Linked DNA regions of Tribolium castaneum. The protein of the gene in region 1 purifies or fractionates together with the protein of each later gene. This does not show direct contact. Links are inferred from orthologs where the notes say so. Each region holds a gene or a part of one and is shown on either strand. Other genes may lie near its edges.

The links.
Region 2: the proteins of Rpa2 (region 1) and Top3alpha purify together in Homo sapiens (affinity purification with mass spectrometry; 4 studies listed by BioGRID and IntAct, with this or other methods). This does not show direct contact. The link is inferred for Tribolium castaneum from reciprocal best matches to the Homo sapiens genes RPA2 and TOP3A.
Region 3: the proteins of Rpa2 (region 1) and serine/threonine-protein kinase ATR purify together in Homo sapiens (affinity purification with western blotting; 3 studies listed by BioGRID, with this or other methods). This does not show direct contact. The link is inferred for Tribolium castaneum from reciprocal best matches to the Homo sapiens genes RPA2 and ATR.
Region 4: the proteins of Rpa2 (region 1) and zinc finger-containing ubiquitin peptidase 1 purify together in Homo sapiens (affinity purification with western blotting; 3 studies listed by BioGRID, with this or other methods). This does not show direct contact. The link is inferred for Tribolium castaneum from reciprocal best matches to the Homo sapiens genes RPA2 and ZUP1.

Annotation. Positions count from the first base shown.
Region 1 is NC_087399.1:4,631,355-4,634,324, reverse strand, and holds Rpa2 (replication protein A2), read right to left. Parts: upstream 1,538-2,970; coding exon 1,451-1,537; intron 1,405-1,450; coding exon 1,306-1,404; intron 1,260-1,305; coding exon 1,146-1,259; intron 1,102-1,145; coding exon 722-1,101; intron 675-721; coding exon 590-674; 3' UTR 510-589; downstream 1-509. Other genes in the region: triokinase/FMN cyclase, read left to right, coding at 1,796-2,024, 2,066-2,743. UniProt on the Homo sapiens protein: As part of the heterotrimeric replication protein A complex (RPA/RP-A), binds and stabilizes single-stranded DNA intermediates that form during DNA replication or upon DNA stress.
Region 2 is NC_087399.1:1,861,479-1,865,421, forward strand, and holds the start of Top3alpha (DNA topoisomerase 3-alpha), read right to left. Parts: upstream 2,801-3,943; 5' UTR 2,702-2,800; coding exon 2,546-2,701; intron 2,499-2,545; coding exon 2,289-2,498; intron 2,245-2,288; coding exon 1,992-2,244; intron 1,941-1,991; coding exon 1,770-1,940; intron 1,721-1,769; coding exon 405-1,720; intron 1-404. Other genes in the region: calcium-activated chloride channel regulator 4, read right to left, coding at 3,277-3,943. UniProt on the Homo sapiens protein: Releases the supercoiling and torsional tension of DNA introduced during the DNA replication and transcription by transiently cleaving and rejoining one strand of the DNA duplex.
Region 3 is NC_087399.1:7,319,186-7,323,400, reverse strand, and holds the start of serine/threonine-protein kinase ATR, read left to right. Parts: upstream 1-1,415; 5' UTR 1,416-1,690; coding exon 1,691-4,215. Other genes in the region: vito (nucleolar protein 12), read left to right, coding at 581-675, 741-1,278. UniProt on the Homo sapiens protein: Serine/threonine protein kinase which activates checkpoint signaling upon genotoxic stresses such as ionizing radiation (IR), ultraviolet light (UV), or DNA replication stalling, thereby acting as a DNA damage sensor.
Region 4 is NC_087399.1:5,853,361-5,857,561, forward strand, and holds the start of zinc finger-containing ubiquitin peptidase 1, read left to right. Parts: upstream 1-1,401; 5' UTR 1,402-1,531; intron 1,532-1,625; exon of another isoform or gene 1,626-1,629; 5' UTR 1,630-1,630; coding exon 1,631-1,875; intron 1,876-1,926; coding exon 1,927-2,196; intron 2,197-4,201. Other genes in the region: mitochondrial 2-oxoglutarate/malate carrier protein, read right to left, coding at 159-387, 433-1,062, 1,171-1,235. UniProt on the Homo sapiens protein: Deubiquitinase with endodeubiquitinase activity that specifically interacts with and cleaves 'Lys-63'-linked long polyubiquitin chains. Shows only weak activity against 'Lys-11' and 'Lys-48'-linked chains.

The DNA.
Region 1 (2,970 bases):
TGTTATTTGTAGCTTCCACAAAGTACAAAAACACTTTAGCTCTATTACACAAATAATAATCGAAAAAAATTGTGCCTACATTATTAAATTTTCCTTAAACAAAGGCTACGATGTAATTGTGTATTTTTTGGAATAAAGAAGGTACGAATACTTAAAGATTTCGCTAAAATGTTTTATCCACACTACCTTGTACATGAAAAAAAAAACACGCGTACTCTTTATTTTTCACCTAGCAACAATTTATCTCAATGTGAGTATAATTGGTTGCCTGAACTTTAAACTCAACTGAAAGAAATTTCTCTAATTTATCTTTTATTTTTGTTTCTGTATCGTCCGTAAAGGTACAGAAACTAAAATGAGTTCATAAAATAACCCAACCGCACATGTTGGTATTTTTTTCATCCATCAACTTTTAACTCATCGTAAAAAAAGTCAACTTTAGTGGTTTTAATCTTTTCTAAGACCTTTATAAGGATGTGTGAGGATTAATAGGTAAAAGAAACACGAGCTTTTGCAAAGGAAAATGTATTTAAAGTATACGAAAAATGTAAAGCAACCAGGGTGTACAAAAAAATAAAATGAAACAAATTTAATCCGCATCTGTGGCCTTGTAATGATCGGTGTCAACAGTAGTATACACATGCCCCTCATCCAGCAAGAAATCCAAAGCGACTCTGGAACACACCATCAAACAAAACCCCACCTGTAAATAAATACGCACTCAGCCTCCCTTGCTTGTGCTCCAAAGTGCTGCATAATTTCGCTCCTACTCAACCCAGTCCTACTTTTGATAGGTTTCAACAAATTGATAATTTTGACTTGCATCGGCTTAAGTCCCGACGAATTATTTGCAGCAGCTGACGTGGACGTTGTGGCCACAGTGGTCGATAAATTAGCAGCTGGGAGCCTCCCATCGGCCAGTCTTTCAGCGTATAATTTAGCTTGAATAATCTCCAAGAGATGATTTGTGACGATGTTTAAATCATCAACTGGAAGGATTTTGAGAATCATGATCATTTTTTCACCGTCTTGGGTGCGCACTGAGCCGAAAACACGCACGTAGCAATTTTCCTTGACGGGGGGAAGGGCCGTCACAGTGTCCTGCTGGCAAAAATAACGAAACGAAAACGAACAAATCTACTTACGTTATCGGTCTCCAGCCACATAATGGCCTTAATGGAGGCACTGTGGTCCTCAATGGTGCACGTGGCTTTGGTCGTCTGGACCTCAAAGTCTTTCAAAACCCCCACGACATCAGCCTGAATTTTTCATACAAAAAACACAAAAAAACGGGATAAAACTTACGAAATGGACCGGCATCCCGTACAAATTGAACTCCTCATCGGTGCACTCAAGGATATGCGAAATGAACAAAGGGACAACACTTTGCATGCGCCTCACTTGCTGCAATCAGAGGAGTAAAGACAAGCACAAAAAGCGCCCCACAAACCTGTTTTTTCTTGGCAGTGGACCCTTGGTTATCATCATTTACGAAACCGCCGTTGTTACTGATATCAAACTGATCAACACTAAACATTTTCACGTTTTAATAAAAATCAACAATTGCGGTTAAGAGTGGCGGGAAATTCTGACAGTTGCCTGACACCTTCGTAGGGACTTTCCATTTGCACGGGCAAAAACTAGGGATTTTTACATATTGTTCAAAATTCAAAAATAAATTTTCGAAAAAAAAATATTTTTTACAAAACAACCGGCCCACAAGTCGGGGGCCACTGATGTAGAGGGCGCCACTTTCCTGTTTGTTTTGTGTTATTTTAGGTTATCTCAAAATTAAATGGAGAGCCCCCTTGATGTGGGGAGTGGGCCGGTGAAGGTGCGCGACGCCCTTCTGGGGCTCACTGCGCTCAACCACGACGTGGTCTTGCTCGACTACGGCAATGTCGTGATCCAAAGGGATTACAGGAACTTGTCAAAGGTCCGACTATTGTCAGGCGGTGTCGCTGGGACTGACCTAATTCACGCCGTTTGTGTGGGCAAAGGGATGCTAACGGCTGCCATTCTGGGTAATTTACCGAATTATTGGCCCTGTCTTACTGTTTTGCAGGGGAGGAGACGGTGCCAAGCTCCCGTCAAATTCTGCACACGATTAAGGAGCTGAACGAAGGGGACAATTGCGGGATTTGTGTGATAGTGCAAGCAAACGCTGATTTGTTCAATTTTGGGTTGGCGGTCGAACGGGCCAACACGGACTGCCGGACACGAGTTAAACTACTCCCAATTAATGACGATAAGAGCGCTAAAAAGGAGCGATATTCGTGCGGGTTTATCCTCCTGGCTAAAATTCTGGGGGCCTTGGCGGAAAGCGGCGCCTTGTACAATGATGTTTGCGAGTGTTATAAACAAATAATTGATCAAATTATAACCGTTCCTTTGAACTACACGCACGATGGGTCGGGCACCCGAAAACGCAAAAGTTTAGTTCTGTCCGATTTTGAGTCAAACTTTAGACACATTATTGATAAAAAATCGCAAGTTTTCTTAGGCCTTCACCCCTCTATACCGACGGTCGCTCTAATTAACGCGTCTAGAACAATGGAGAGATACGTAGAGTTGAGTTTTGTCAAACAAGTCATTGAAAGACTGAAGGAACTGGGCGTTTGTGTTGTGCGAATTTATTACGGGAATTTCATTTCAGTGGCCCCCGGAACGGCCTTTCTGACCGTAATGAAGGTGCACGACATGAAAATTATCGATTACTTGGACGCCCCATGCGGCGCCACCGGTAGGTCTTACATATTTTTTACAAAAAATATAAACAATGCATTAATAACAATTGTTATTAACAATACGAGTGCGAAAAATCAAGCTTAAAGTTCGAGGACTGTCGTTATGCAACGAGCGTATGCGAGTGTGATTCAAGAAAAATTTTTTTGTTGGAACATTTTAATTTAAAAACAAAAATTAAAAATAATTAATAAAAAAAAATAATAAAATAATAAAAAAAATTAA
Region 2 (3,943 bases), about 2.8 Mb from region 1:
TGTCTCGGTATTTTAATAAAACCTGGCCGAAAAATTCAAACATTTATAATCTTCATACAATAATTATTATAAAACGAATTGCATAGACTGAGCGGAAACATTAAAATTTCCTTTTCGTAAAACATCATATTCTATTGTTATGTCTTTACTTTTTTCCAGATGATTATTTAAGTATTTTTCTGTCGCAAATTTACCATTTTTGCAGCCAATTATTACCTAATTTATCTGCATCTCACTTAAAGTGATTATGTTTTTGTTAATGACGATTTATCGATATTCTCCCACAATTTATTCACTTTATCACCGATCGTTGTCCCCAGCGGACGTCACTATTTGATAAAAATAAATGTTTGTTATTTTTTTAATCGGTAAGTTTGGGATCAATCCGTGATTTTACCACTTACCTGCGGACAACTCTCGTCCAAAACTTCAATAGTCTCCACATTTTGCGACAACCAGATCGCATTCCGACAGTCTGGATAACCCGTACACGAGATAAACTTCCCCGCGTTATTTTTTTTGTTCCTAATGGTCATATCATTCCCACATTTTGGACATTTCAAAACCGGCCTAACTTCCACATTCTCATAGTGTTCATCCTCAACGACCTGTGGCCGATCAGCCAGCCGATTAGCCAAGCATTCGTCAATTTGCCTCATTTTCTCAACCACAGTTTCAAAAACCGCCCGATATTTCTGAATTTGTTCTCTCCGCACAACTTCCGGGTCTTTCAAACCGTCGCAAATCAGCTTCAAGTCCTTCTCAAAATCGGCCCGTAGAATCGGCTTAGCCAGACTCACTTCTAGCCCGATATTATTGTAACCCTCAACCAGGCCCATGCCAAGGGTGCCCGGGACGAAATAAATATTTTCATGCAAGCCCACGTATTCCCGCGTTTTGATAGTGTCGATGTGCTCGGCGTGGGTGGCATCGGTCCCAATGCCGTGCTTTTCCATCAACGCGATCAAGTCGGCTTCGGTTAGTAACTTCGGGGGCGCAGTTGCGCCTTCGTAAAGCTCCAAAACTGAGGGGATGAAAGTGTCGCCTTGTTGGTAGCTGTGGATTTCTTTGGCGTTCCATTTTTCGTAGGTGTACACTTCGAGGTAGTTTTTTTCCAAGATTATTAGCCCTTTGGCTGTGAATTTTTCCCCAGCAATGTCCGCCGTGACCACGGTTTCGAAACCTTGAGCGTCCTTGTGGACGCAAGCTAGGAAATGGCGCACGATGTATTCGTAAACGCGTTGCTCATTTCCCGTTAAATTATCCGCGTGTTTTGTTGGGTGTATGGGAGGGTGGGCCTGGTCTGACTTTTTGCCCTGTCTGGGAGCGGGGCCCCCTTCGTTCATTATGCGGTGCGCGAAAGCGCCCCAACGTTGGTCGTTTTGTTGCAATGTTACCAAGTTCGCTAAGTTTAATTCCTTAGGGAAGATGTTTGTTTCGGTTCGGGGGTAACTGATCAACCCTTGAGTGTACAGTTTTTCGGCGATTTTCATCGTGTCTTTAGCCGTGATTTTGAGTTTTCGGGAGACGGTTTTCTCCATTTCGACGGTGTCTAGGGGCAAAGGGCGCCACTTGCTTTTGGGCTTGCCTTCGACCTTTTCGACGGTTGCGTTTGGAGATTCCTTACAAATGTCCAAAATTGCCTCGCAGGCGTTTTTGTCGAAGAGGCGGTCGCGTTTCCACGTGAATTCGGTCGTTATGTCGTTCACAGTGTGATTCACTGCGAAATAACCGTTTTTTTAATCATGAAAATTGGTATTTAAACTAACTTTTGATTTTCCAAAACGGTTCTGGGATGAAATCCTGAATGGCTTGGTACCTTTCTACCACAAACCCCAAAGTGGGGAACTGGCAAGAGCCGTAACTTATCAGTCTATCGGCGAGCTTTTGGGGGAAAACTCTCTGTAACCGCAGGGTTTGCAATCTGGTAAAAGCAGCTCCTGTTTAACCACGTTTCTTCAACAATAAATTACAACAAGCAAAGAACTGACCTGTCCTCAAGTCCAACTCTTGTCGTACATCAACCGCGTCACTTACGTTCTTGTTGGGTTGTCCTAGCGTATTTAGGGCCCTAAATATGGAAGCGGCCGTGATTTCGGAAAACTTGGCGCGATAAATCCTCAAATTGGGCTTAACGTCGCTACAAACCTTGATTATTTCAAACCCGATATTTTCCCCTTCGCGATCGCAATCGGTCCAGATTATCAGCCCCTGACACGACCTGATTTCCCGCTCTAAAGTGCGCTACAAGTAGGTTTAGTCTAAAAACTGGGGACACCACGTCTAACCTTAATTTTTTGGTAATCTTCCGGGCACATTTTAACAACCGGTGCGTCGAACAGTGCAACAGGATTGCACGACTTCCAGTTGCGAAAACTGGGCCCGAATTCGTAATTTAATAAATGGCCTGAAACCGAAGTCATGATCATGTGGGCCTGTTGGCCCATCACGGTCGCGTCGAATTCGTAGATTTTGTTGTAGGGCGAGAAGCCCTCACGCTGGAATTTTTCTCATTGTTAAAATGCTCAACCGAGTGACTACAAACCTTCTGTGAAGCCCCCCGGGACAGAATTGCAGCGATATTTTTGGCGGCATCGTTTTTCTCGGCCACGTTTAGGTATCTCATGATTGCTGGACGTGCCCCAGTGCTACAGAATCGTGCGCTTACATTTAGTAAAGAGGAAATTAGTAAACATCCCATTTAAAACACATTTTTTGCGGTTTTTAACCAAAACAAATTCGAATTTGGGATTTTTGACGGACAGATGACAGCAGCAGCCATGTTTGTGGCACACAAAGTCCCCAGATTGCTGGATGTGGCTAAGGTGCCAACGCGTTCGAGTTTTTAAATCGGAAAAATCGCGCGATATTTTATTCAGAACGTAAGGGCCGGTTAATTGTATTTTCGTAAGAAAAACTGATCGAACTAAAAATGGTTTATTGCAAGTTTATATTTGTCGACAAATTACAAAACTTATGAAAATATATACAGATTTGATCGTACCACTAGGTATATGTACAAAAGCCTAAGATTACGATTACGATATAGAACGGCCACCCACATTGTCAAATAGTCAAAAAACGTGAGATCAGTCTCAAAAAATTTGTATAAAACTACAAACAATCACTTACATGCTACGTACTGGCTGTATATTAACGTACATCAACATTGACTAGCAGAATCAATTTACAAAAAAGAAATAATCAACAAAAACGCTTATTTTATTCCTCCTCGTGTCATAAATAGGTCGTATAAGTCTCTGTGATCACGCACCGTTACACCATTGTCACATTCCGCCGCTTCTTGTCACCACTGTTCACCGACGAGAGCGACCCCTGAAGACTGGGGTTAAACGGGCCTAGGGCCTCATTGCGGGTCTGATACATGTGGTTATTGCCTTGGTGCACCCCATAAATGTTGTAATTGACGGGATAACCGTTCGAATTGAACGCCGGTAGCGGTGGGACGGGTGGCGGGATGTGGTGCTGGGTCGGGTAGTGCCCATTCAGACTCATATGGTCCTGGGACATATGGTCGGCTTGGGGGTTCATCAAGAGGTCCTGATGGGTGTTGACTTGATCGTCCATATTCTCCATGGGACTGTGACGGCGTTCGTGTTCGTGCAACAATTGAGACGCGCTCCATGAATTGTACGGACTCAAAGTGTGACCGTTTCGGTTTAACGTACTGTTTGAAATAACACTCAATCCTTGGTAACCTTGGTTCGGAGTCCCTAAATCCCGCTGTTGGTAGTGGACCATTTGTTGCTGTTTCAATTCTTCGATCAGTTGTTGCTCCTGTTGGTTGACCAAAGAGTAGCGTTTTTTCTGCTCTTCTTCGTACTCGTCCTTGATCGGGACGCCAATTTGGTGAGGATCGGGCAAGTCCGTAACGTAGTGTTGATTCTGAGGCACATTTTGCGGACTACTGGGTACTATAGTG
Region 3 (4,215 bases), about 2.7 Mb from region 1:
CGAAATTTGAGGATGAGCGAGGTCAAGTGCCCGATTTTCGGGCTAATATGGAGATCGGAGCGTTGGGGAAAATCGGGGTTTTTGGGGGTTTTGGGGCAAGGGCACTTACTTTAGGGCCGGAGACGGTGTCACTTGATCGACAGGGACATTTTGTAGCGTTTCATCATCACTTTTCGGCGCTTTGGTGCAAAGATTGGCGAAAAATTCGGGTTATATGACGATTTAAATGAAGGGAAGTTCATGATTCTACGATCAAATTTATACTGACAGCCATGATGAGATGAGCGCCGACTTTATGCCACGATATGGCTGTGATTGGTCGAAAAATTCACCAAAGGCGTGAAAGGGATGATTAATCAACGAAACTCCCAATTTCATAACATGACTCAAAACTCCCTCAAAAACCAAAATTTTAGCAACCACTAACTGCCTACATTCTCGCATTTGTGAACAAATTTACCATTTTTCAGCCAAATGAAAGAGTGATTTTTAAATCGCGGTTGAACCGCAGTATGAGCACGGCTTTCGCCTTGACTTATTTACTTCGAGTACTGGAAAAAAGAAAACACAAATTGTCAAAATGGCTGCGGGTTCATCAGTTAAAAAAAATCGCCAAAAAAATCCCAAAAATCGCACAAACAAAATACACCTGGTGTTCGACGAAAAGAAGCGTAGGTTCGTTGAATTTCGCCGTTTTTACGTGTAATGAATTGAGCACATGTCACTACATAACCTCACAGGGATTTTCTCACCGGTTTCCACAAACGCAAGCTCCAGCGCAAGAAAGAAGCCCGCGAGAAGCTCGAGCGCGACTTGAAGGAGGAGCGGAAGCGTCTCAAGTCAGAGGCGAAGGAGTCTTACAAAAAATTGGTTGTCTCCCATCGGCCAATCCCTGAATTGGAGACCCTTCTCAAAGAGGAGTATGAGGACGATGATGCCACTGTCAGAATTGAGGAGTTATCGACCGACGTGATCGCCAAAGAGAGTAACTGGATTGGGGCCAATCAGCCGATTTGTGAAGATGTTGAACAGGAAGAAAGTGAAGTCAGTGAAGTGCCTGGGATGGAATTGAAGAAGAAGGACAGTAAAGTGAATCGGAAGTTTGATTCAGAACGCGACGTGAAGCGATTACTCAAAAAGGAGGCCACCAAGAAAGTGCAGAAGAGCAAGGTTTTCCAGATGAAGACGAAAATCGAGGGGCAGAAGCAGAGGAAGAAGGCGAGGCGGGAGAACAAGCAGAAGATGAAATTGAAAGAGAAGAAGAGGAAACGGCACTGAATTGTTATTTTTGTATTAAAGAAATAAAGGATTTTTATTACTTGAGGTTATGTCATTGTGGCTAATTTCACACCAGTGGATACTAACACACCTCTTACACGTGCCCTAATAATTATTAAAAAAAATAACCCAATAAATATTCCCTTACTTTATTTAAATTTACAACAATCACTTTATTTCATACATTGGTTTCCGAATTATCACCCGATTTAAATCAGCACCTGTTGCCAACTTCACACGATTCAGTTCCATTGCGCGGGATTGCGCCAAAAGTCAAAAAATGTAGTCTGTTTTCGTGAATTAGACAATGTTTCGTGTAATTATTTCTAGTTTGTGATTTTTTATCTCCTTTATGTAAGTACTTTCGGCCCCCGTGACGTAAGTACCGTTACATTTTTTGTTAGGTTAAGTCATGTCACTACACGACGAAATCCCGGCTTTTTCCATTTGGGAGACCTTAAGCGCGACAATTCCGGCCCTAATGAGCATGAAACCGTCCGAAAAGAGCGCCGAACATTTGGCTAAAATAATCAAATCGGGGGATTTCACAACCATTTTCGTCTACAGCAGGGACCCCCTGAGCAGTCTTGACGACTACCGAAGGATCGCCGGGAAGTACAAGTCCTTCACGACGTGGTTTCTCGGCCGCTTTTTCTACCTTCTGAGTTGCGAAAAGTTGTGCAAAAGTCACAATGTTTACGTTGAGATCCAGTTGTGTGTCTTGGAACAGCTATCAAACACACAATTGAGCGTTTACGATGAGTTGGCACGGGACTATTGCGAAACCCTGAACAGTTTGTGCCATTTTGTCAAATCCGGGCACAGCACCTTAACTCTCAACGTTTTTGTCCCCGAGAAATACGCAGATTTGTGCCAGAAATTGAACCTCGAGCCGATCGCTATCGAAATCAATCAGAGAAACTTCCCCGATTTTTTCCTCAATTTGTTGAGGATTGTTAAATTTATTTTGGGCCAAAGCGTAGAGTCTGACTGTTACACAAGCGCCACGTACCGGAATTTGGACGATTTGTTGTTTTTTCTTTCCTATTCTTCAGTCGCCGTAAAAATCGAAATTCTAAAGATTTATCTCGATTTGGCCAAAAAATTCGACAAGAAGAACGATTTCGGTGACTTAATCCGGTTTAAAATGGAGCTGTTCGGGCGATATTTCGAACAGTTAGTTTATGAAATTTACAATTGTAAAATAGCCACAAGTACAAAAGAATTCCAATCGTTTGAACTCATCACGTTTGAGTTTTTCGGCCAGAATTTGGATACCCAAATTTTCGAAAAATTGAGCGAGTTTTTGCTCACCAAAACCGGCGAAATTGCGCCATCGGAGCCACTTTTGAATTTTTGTAAACGCAAGAGGTGTACCCCCTTGTTTGGAGAATACAATTATGAAAGTTTCGTCAAAACGGCCTTAGCTGATTTCAATACGTCGGTACTTTGTGGTTTTAAGTCATTTTTGTTGACCCAAGTTAGAAATATAAGACAGGAGGCTTGTAAAATCAAGTGTGTACATTCGGACAAATGGAAAATTTTTCGTGGCCAATTTATGCAACAAATTGAAGCCACCGATTGCACTAAAGACTGTAAAATACCCCAATTTTTGAAATTTCTGACCCACCTTGCAACAATCCTTACCGAAGTCGCAATCGAAATGAAAAACTCGAATTTGGAATTTTTTGAGGAGAAAATTTTCCTCATCAAAATCCTGGCACTCCTCAATCGCCATTTCGCCACGTGTGACAACAACGTGCCAATGCCCTCAATTTTCGACTGTTTTTTGAGTCTAGTCTTCGTTACCAGTCCCCCAAACGTTACTTTTTTCTTCGATATGTTTTCTTGTATTTTTGTGCAAAATCAACTCAGCTTTGGACACTTTCAAGGCACGAGCGATTTCCCACGATACAAAAAGGAAATGACCGAATTTTGCAAATACGTCACTCGTTACGCCCCAAAGGACGTCGCGTTTGAATACTTGAATGAATTTTTGGCGCGAATTTCGAGCGGTTTTTTCGAAATCGCCCAAATTTACGAAATTGAATCAAACTTTATGAAAATCACCAAACAAATGAATAACGTGGGGGTTGTCAGGCATTTAGCCCACATTTTGACAATCTTTCAAAACCCAGACCGGGTCATTTCGGAAATCCTCACACCGGCCCTTTCGTCATCAAACGAACGGGTTTTGGAAGAAGTGACCGAAGCCCTGCCTGACATTATTTGCGTCTCGTCGAGTGATTTTGTCAAACTGACACGAATCGAAGAGTGTCAAGTCAAAATTGACATTTTTTGTAAAAAATGTCATGACTTGACAAGTGACGGATTGAGTGTCACTTTTGCCAAAATTGACGTCGATTTGACAACTCTCCAAGGCGCCATTTTGAAAAACGTCCTCAAATTCCTCACTCTTGACAATGCGGGCCTCAAATCGAGAGCCTTGGAGGTGTTGCCGTTTTGCTCCAACCACATCCTCAAATTCCATTCGGGCAACGTTGCCAAAATTTGGGTCGAAAAAATCGGCGATTCTGACGAAAACGTGCGAAAAACGTTCGCGAAAGTGGTCCCAAAAATTATCAAGTGTGCGCAAGAGAATCAAGTTTTGAGCGACACTACTAAAAGTGAAACAATTGAAATACTCTTCAATTGTTTATTGAGGCTTTGCAAGAGGAGTCTCCAAACTAGCGATTTTACCTTGCAAGAGACACTCTTGTGTACAGTTGAGGAAATTTGCAACGTTAGATGCGAGAGAACTGTTTTACCAACAATTCGAATTTTGATTTATTTCATCATGGTGCCGACGTCCAAACATTCGCTAATCGCCGTAAATAAATTCTTCAAGTTGGCTGAGCTCCACGACACCACCCCCAGCCAACTTTACAAGCAAAACAAGCGCGAGATGTGCGAACTGATCGCACACTTGTGCATTGT
Region 4 (4,201 bases), about 1.2 Mb from region 1:
GTTTCCGTTTATTAGAAAAATTCATTGCTTAACTGACCTACACCTTATTAATGAAATGATTTTGTGCAACTTATTCTAAATAAAATTTCAGCGATATGTAAATAAAACAAACTTTAATAAAAAACATAAGCGTAACATTTGCTTCACTTCCCTTGTCGTTACAATTGCCCTCCGGTCCCCGACTTCCCCAAAACGATTTTATTATACGCCGAATTCATTTGCTCCAAGAAAATAAACGTGAGGACGGTGTGCGGCCCTAACCTGAAGTAGTACGGAGTGAAACCTTTCCACAAAGCGAACGGCCCTTCGTTCTTCACGACTTTGACTAAAACATCGAGGGCGCCCGAGTACTCCGGCTTACCATTGATTGTTTTCATGTTTTGAATCCTGAAATAGTAAAATCAGAGACGTGATTTTGAATCAATTTTCTACCTAGTTTTGGCAATATCGACTGGCATCGAGGCGGCCGTTGTGACCAACCCCGAAATCATAGAGGCACAGAAATGAAGGAAAATCCCGTCGTGGAAGAATCCCGTATTTAAGAGCATTTGCTTGGCTTGCGAGTACGTGGCCAACTGGGCCGCATTAACCACCATAGCGCGCCCCATTGTGGGGATTGCGCCCCTCCAAAGGGTCAAAACCCCTTCCTCCTTTGTTATCCTGAAGAGAGCGTCGAACACGTTCTTGTAGTTGCGCCTTTCGGCGGCTGGGAGACGTCCGTCTGCGGTCATCCGAATTAGGGACACTTCGGCTGGGGTTCCCACAAACGCGCCACACACGCCTGCCATCATCCCCAACCCCGCCTTCACAATGAAGCTTGGGGGCTTCCCCTCCTCGGAAAAAGTCTCGAAAAGCCACGAGTACACCCCCAGACGGGTCGTTGTGTAAGTCGCTTGGCGCAAAAGCCCAGCTGAGAGGCCCGTATACAGGGCAAAAACCCCCTCGTTGGAGATGATTTTCTGGAGGACTTGGAACGAAGTCGCCCGCTCTTTTTGTGTGGCCGCTAGTTGCATTCGATTTTTGAGCAGGTCTAAGGGCTGGACGAAAAGGGTGCCCGCCATGCTGAAATATTTGAATTTGGCGGAGTTGTATTACCAACCTTGGTGGGTAAGAAATGAGCGGATTAAGGATAAGATAAGAGGGAAATCGGATTAGTTAAGCGGAGCTTACCCAGCTGATCCCCCGAATAAGAATTTGATGTACTTGGGCATTGTTTTCTCTTTGTTGTCCCCCATTTCGAATTTGGACTTCACTGGTATTTAACGCGTCAAACTGTCACAAGAAAGTGACTCGATCGTTCGTATTTCATGTAAATCGTTTCGTTTATTTACGATTTGTGGCTGTGGAGGTTGCAAAGGTCATTTCGTACGAGAAAAGCACTTTTATGTCGATTTTATGGTGGGGCAATCGTGCCAACATAGGCAATTCATTATGCAGATTTGCTATGCGGGTTGCCGAAGTAGGTCAATCAAACTGTCAAATGAATCGCAACATTTTCAAAATTGGACGAAAATCACAACGTAAACAGCAGGTGAGCCCCATTGTCCCCCCTTTACGAACAGTACCCCACTTTTGGCCAATTTACTCGCACCTTTGTGGCGATACAATTCTGATAACCTCAAAAGGTAGGATGGCTAGCAACATCCCCGATTTGTTCTACTCCTGCGAGATCTGCGGCCTGGAGGGCTTGAGTGAAGACGAGTTCCGGACGCACACACGCACTGCCCACGTCGACGGCAATGCCGTGTGCCCCTTTTGCGAGTTATCGGCCGTCTCGCCCGCTGAACTCATCCTTCACGTCAACCAGGCCCACTTGGACTACCTCACCCCCGAATCCGAGTCCAACATGACCTTCATCGACGACGTCAGCCCCAGGTATGGCCCCCATTGCAGTCCCGCACCTACCACCAGCAGCGCTTTTTCCAGCGAGTACAACGGTATTAATGGGGAAAGTAGTGATAATTGGAACATTCCGTCTTTGCCCAGCCATAATAAAACCAACATTAACAACATCAACCTGTCCCCGAAAGTTAACGGGGGCGGCGAACTCAGTCCGAAAAATTCCACCCACGGTCAGGGCTCCCCCTTGCGATCCAGTCTCGCCTTGAAGTTGAAGAGTGCGGCCCCCAGAATGCAGTGCCCCATGTGCAATTATACGAGCAACAGTCCAAACGAGCTCGAGGAGCACGTCAACAGGTAATTTCGGAAAAGTTAACGGAAAAGGCCAAAATTATGTAATTTTCTCATTTTTTCTTTGCTTTTTTTGTCTGTTTTGGCGAATCTATTTGAGATGAGTGAGTTTTTAGTTGCATAGTAATTTCATTTTTGCACTTTTCAGTTTATTTGAGCAAAATTGTTCGAGAAAAGTTTGTTTTTTGAAAAAAAAACACAAAAAAAGTAAAAGATAACGCTTTTGTTTATACTATTTATTATTATTATTATTATTATTATTATTATTATCATTATTATCATTATTATTGTTGTTGTTATTTATTTTTTACGACTTTTCACACTTAACCTTGTTAGAATGATATAAAAGATGCTCATTTTTATATCTGCTCTATTATCACTTTTTTAATGTTTACACAACTATCAAATTCACACTGTATATTAAATCTGGTGAAACATCAAAATACCTAGTGTCAGTTTCGACGATTTTTCGAATCTTCACTGTAAATTTTTTGCTGTACAAAGGAAATTTCTCAAAATAAGTGAGTTTTTATTTAAAAATACACAATTTTTTTACTTGATTTAGTGATTTTTCGGCATGTTTGCACTAAATCACTCTAAACAGGTCAAAAAACGTCATTATCGATCTAATTAGTGAACTTTAATTTTGTAAAATCAGTGAGTTTCTCGCTCAAATTCCAGATAATTCTAACGAAAAAGGTCAAAATAATGTTATTTTAGATCTACGATATTTGTGACTTTTGAGGTTCAGGCAGGAATATTGCGAAAAAGTTAGGCGTAAAGTATTTAATTTTCTACTTTTATTAGAGATAATTTTTTCATGTATTTGAAGAATTTAAGCATTTAAAATGGCCTTCTTGGGAAATTTTGCAAAAATATTAGCGTGTTACTTAACAATACGAGTGTTTACCGAAACAGATCAAATTAAGATCGTTTTCGAATATCAAATGGAAATTTTTGCCGTATTAGGACATTTAATAAAATAGGTGAGTTTTTGTTACAGAATAATTATGTAATTAATGGTATTATGTTATTTCCGGGGCAGTTTTAGCGAAATCTTGCAAAATTACTGAAATTTTATGTCAAAAAATATCAAAAAAGACTCCGAAAAGGCGAAAGTTTTCTGTCTGATTTTGTAATTTTTTGGTATGCTTTTGATGAAATTTTGTGAAAGAATTGCTTTTATGGCTGAAAAACGAGTAAAAACGCTAAAATAAAATAAAAACAGTGCAATTATCTGCTTAATTTGGTGATTTTTTTGACATATTTTAGAGAAATCTTGCAAAATTACTAAGATATTAAGCTTGAATAGGCTAAAATAACTCAATTTCTTATCAAACTTTATCTTCTTTTGGGTTAATTTCCAAATTTCCTGATATTTTAGTTGAAAATGACACCATTTTTTGACTAATTTTGTGTTTTTTTCGGTTTGTTTTTTAAATTTTGTAAAATAATTGCGTTTCTACTTGAAAAAAAAAAAAAAATCGAACATACATGCTAGACAAAGTAAAAACAGTGGAATATCTACTTAATTTTGGATTTTTCGGCTTATTTTAGAGAAATTTAGTAAAATTACTAAGATATTAGGCTTAAAAATGTAAAAATAGTTAAATTTTTTATCAAATGTTGCCTTCTTCTGGGGTAATTTTAACAAAATTTTTAAATAAAATTGGCATATACATAATGTTATTTTCGATCTATATTTGTTGTTTTTTTTTTAACCTATTGTAGGCAAACGTAATCATATTCAAGTACATAATTTTCAACAATTTTTCGATATACCTATCATGGAATTATTCGAATTTATAATTAGAGTTAGCTTTTGTTTTTTTTTTTGTGAATGATAAACTAGTGCAATCTGAGGGAAAACTGTATTCTAATTAAATATTACCGTTCGAAATTTTATCATTCGACTTCCCAACTTGATTAATAAATTATGATAATCACCGTTTTGAATCAAGTTAAAAAAGTATGAAAACTTATTGTAATTATTAATTCAAATGATTACATG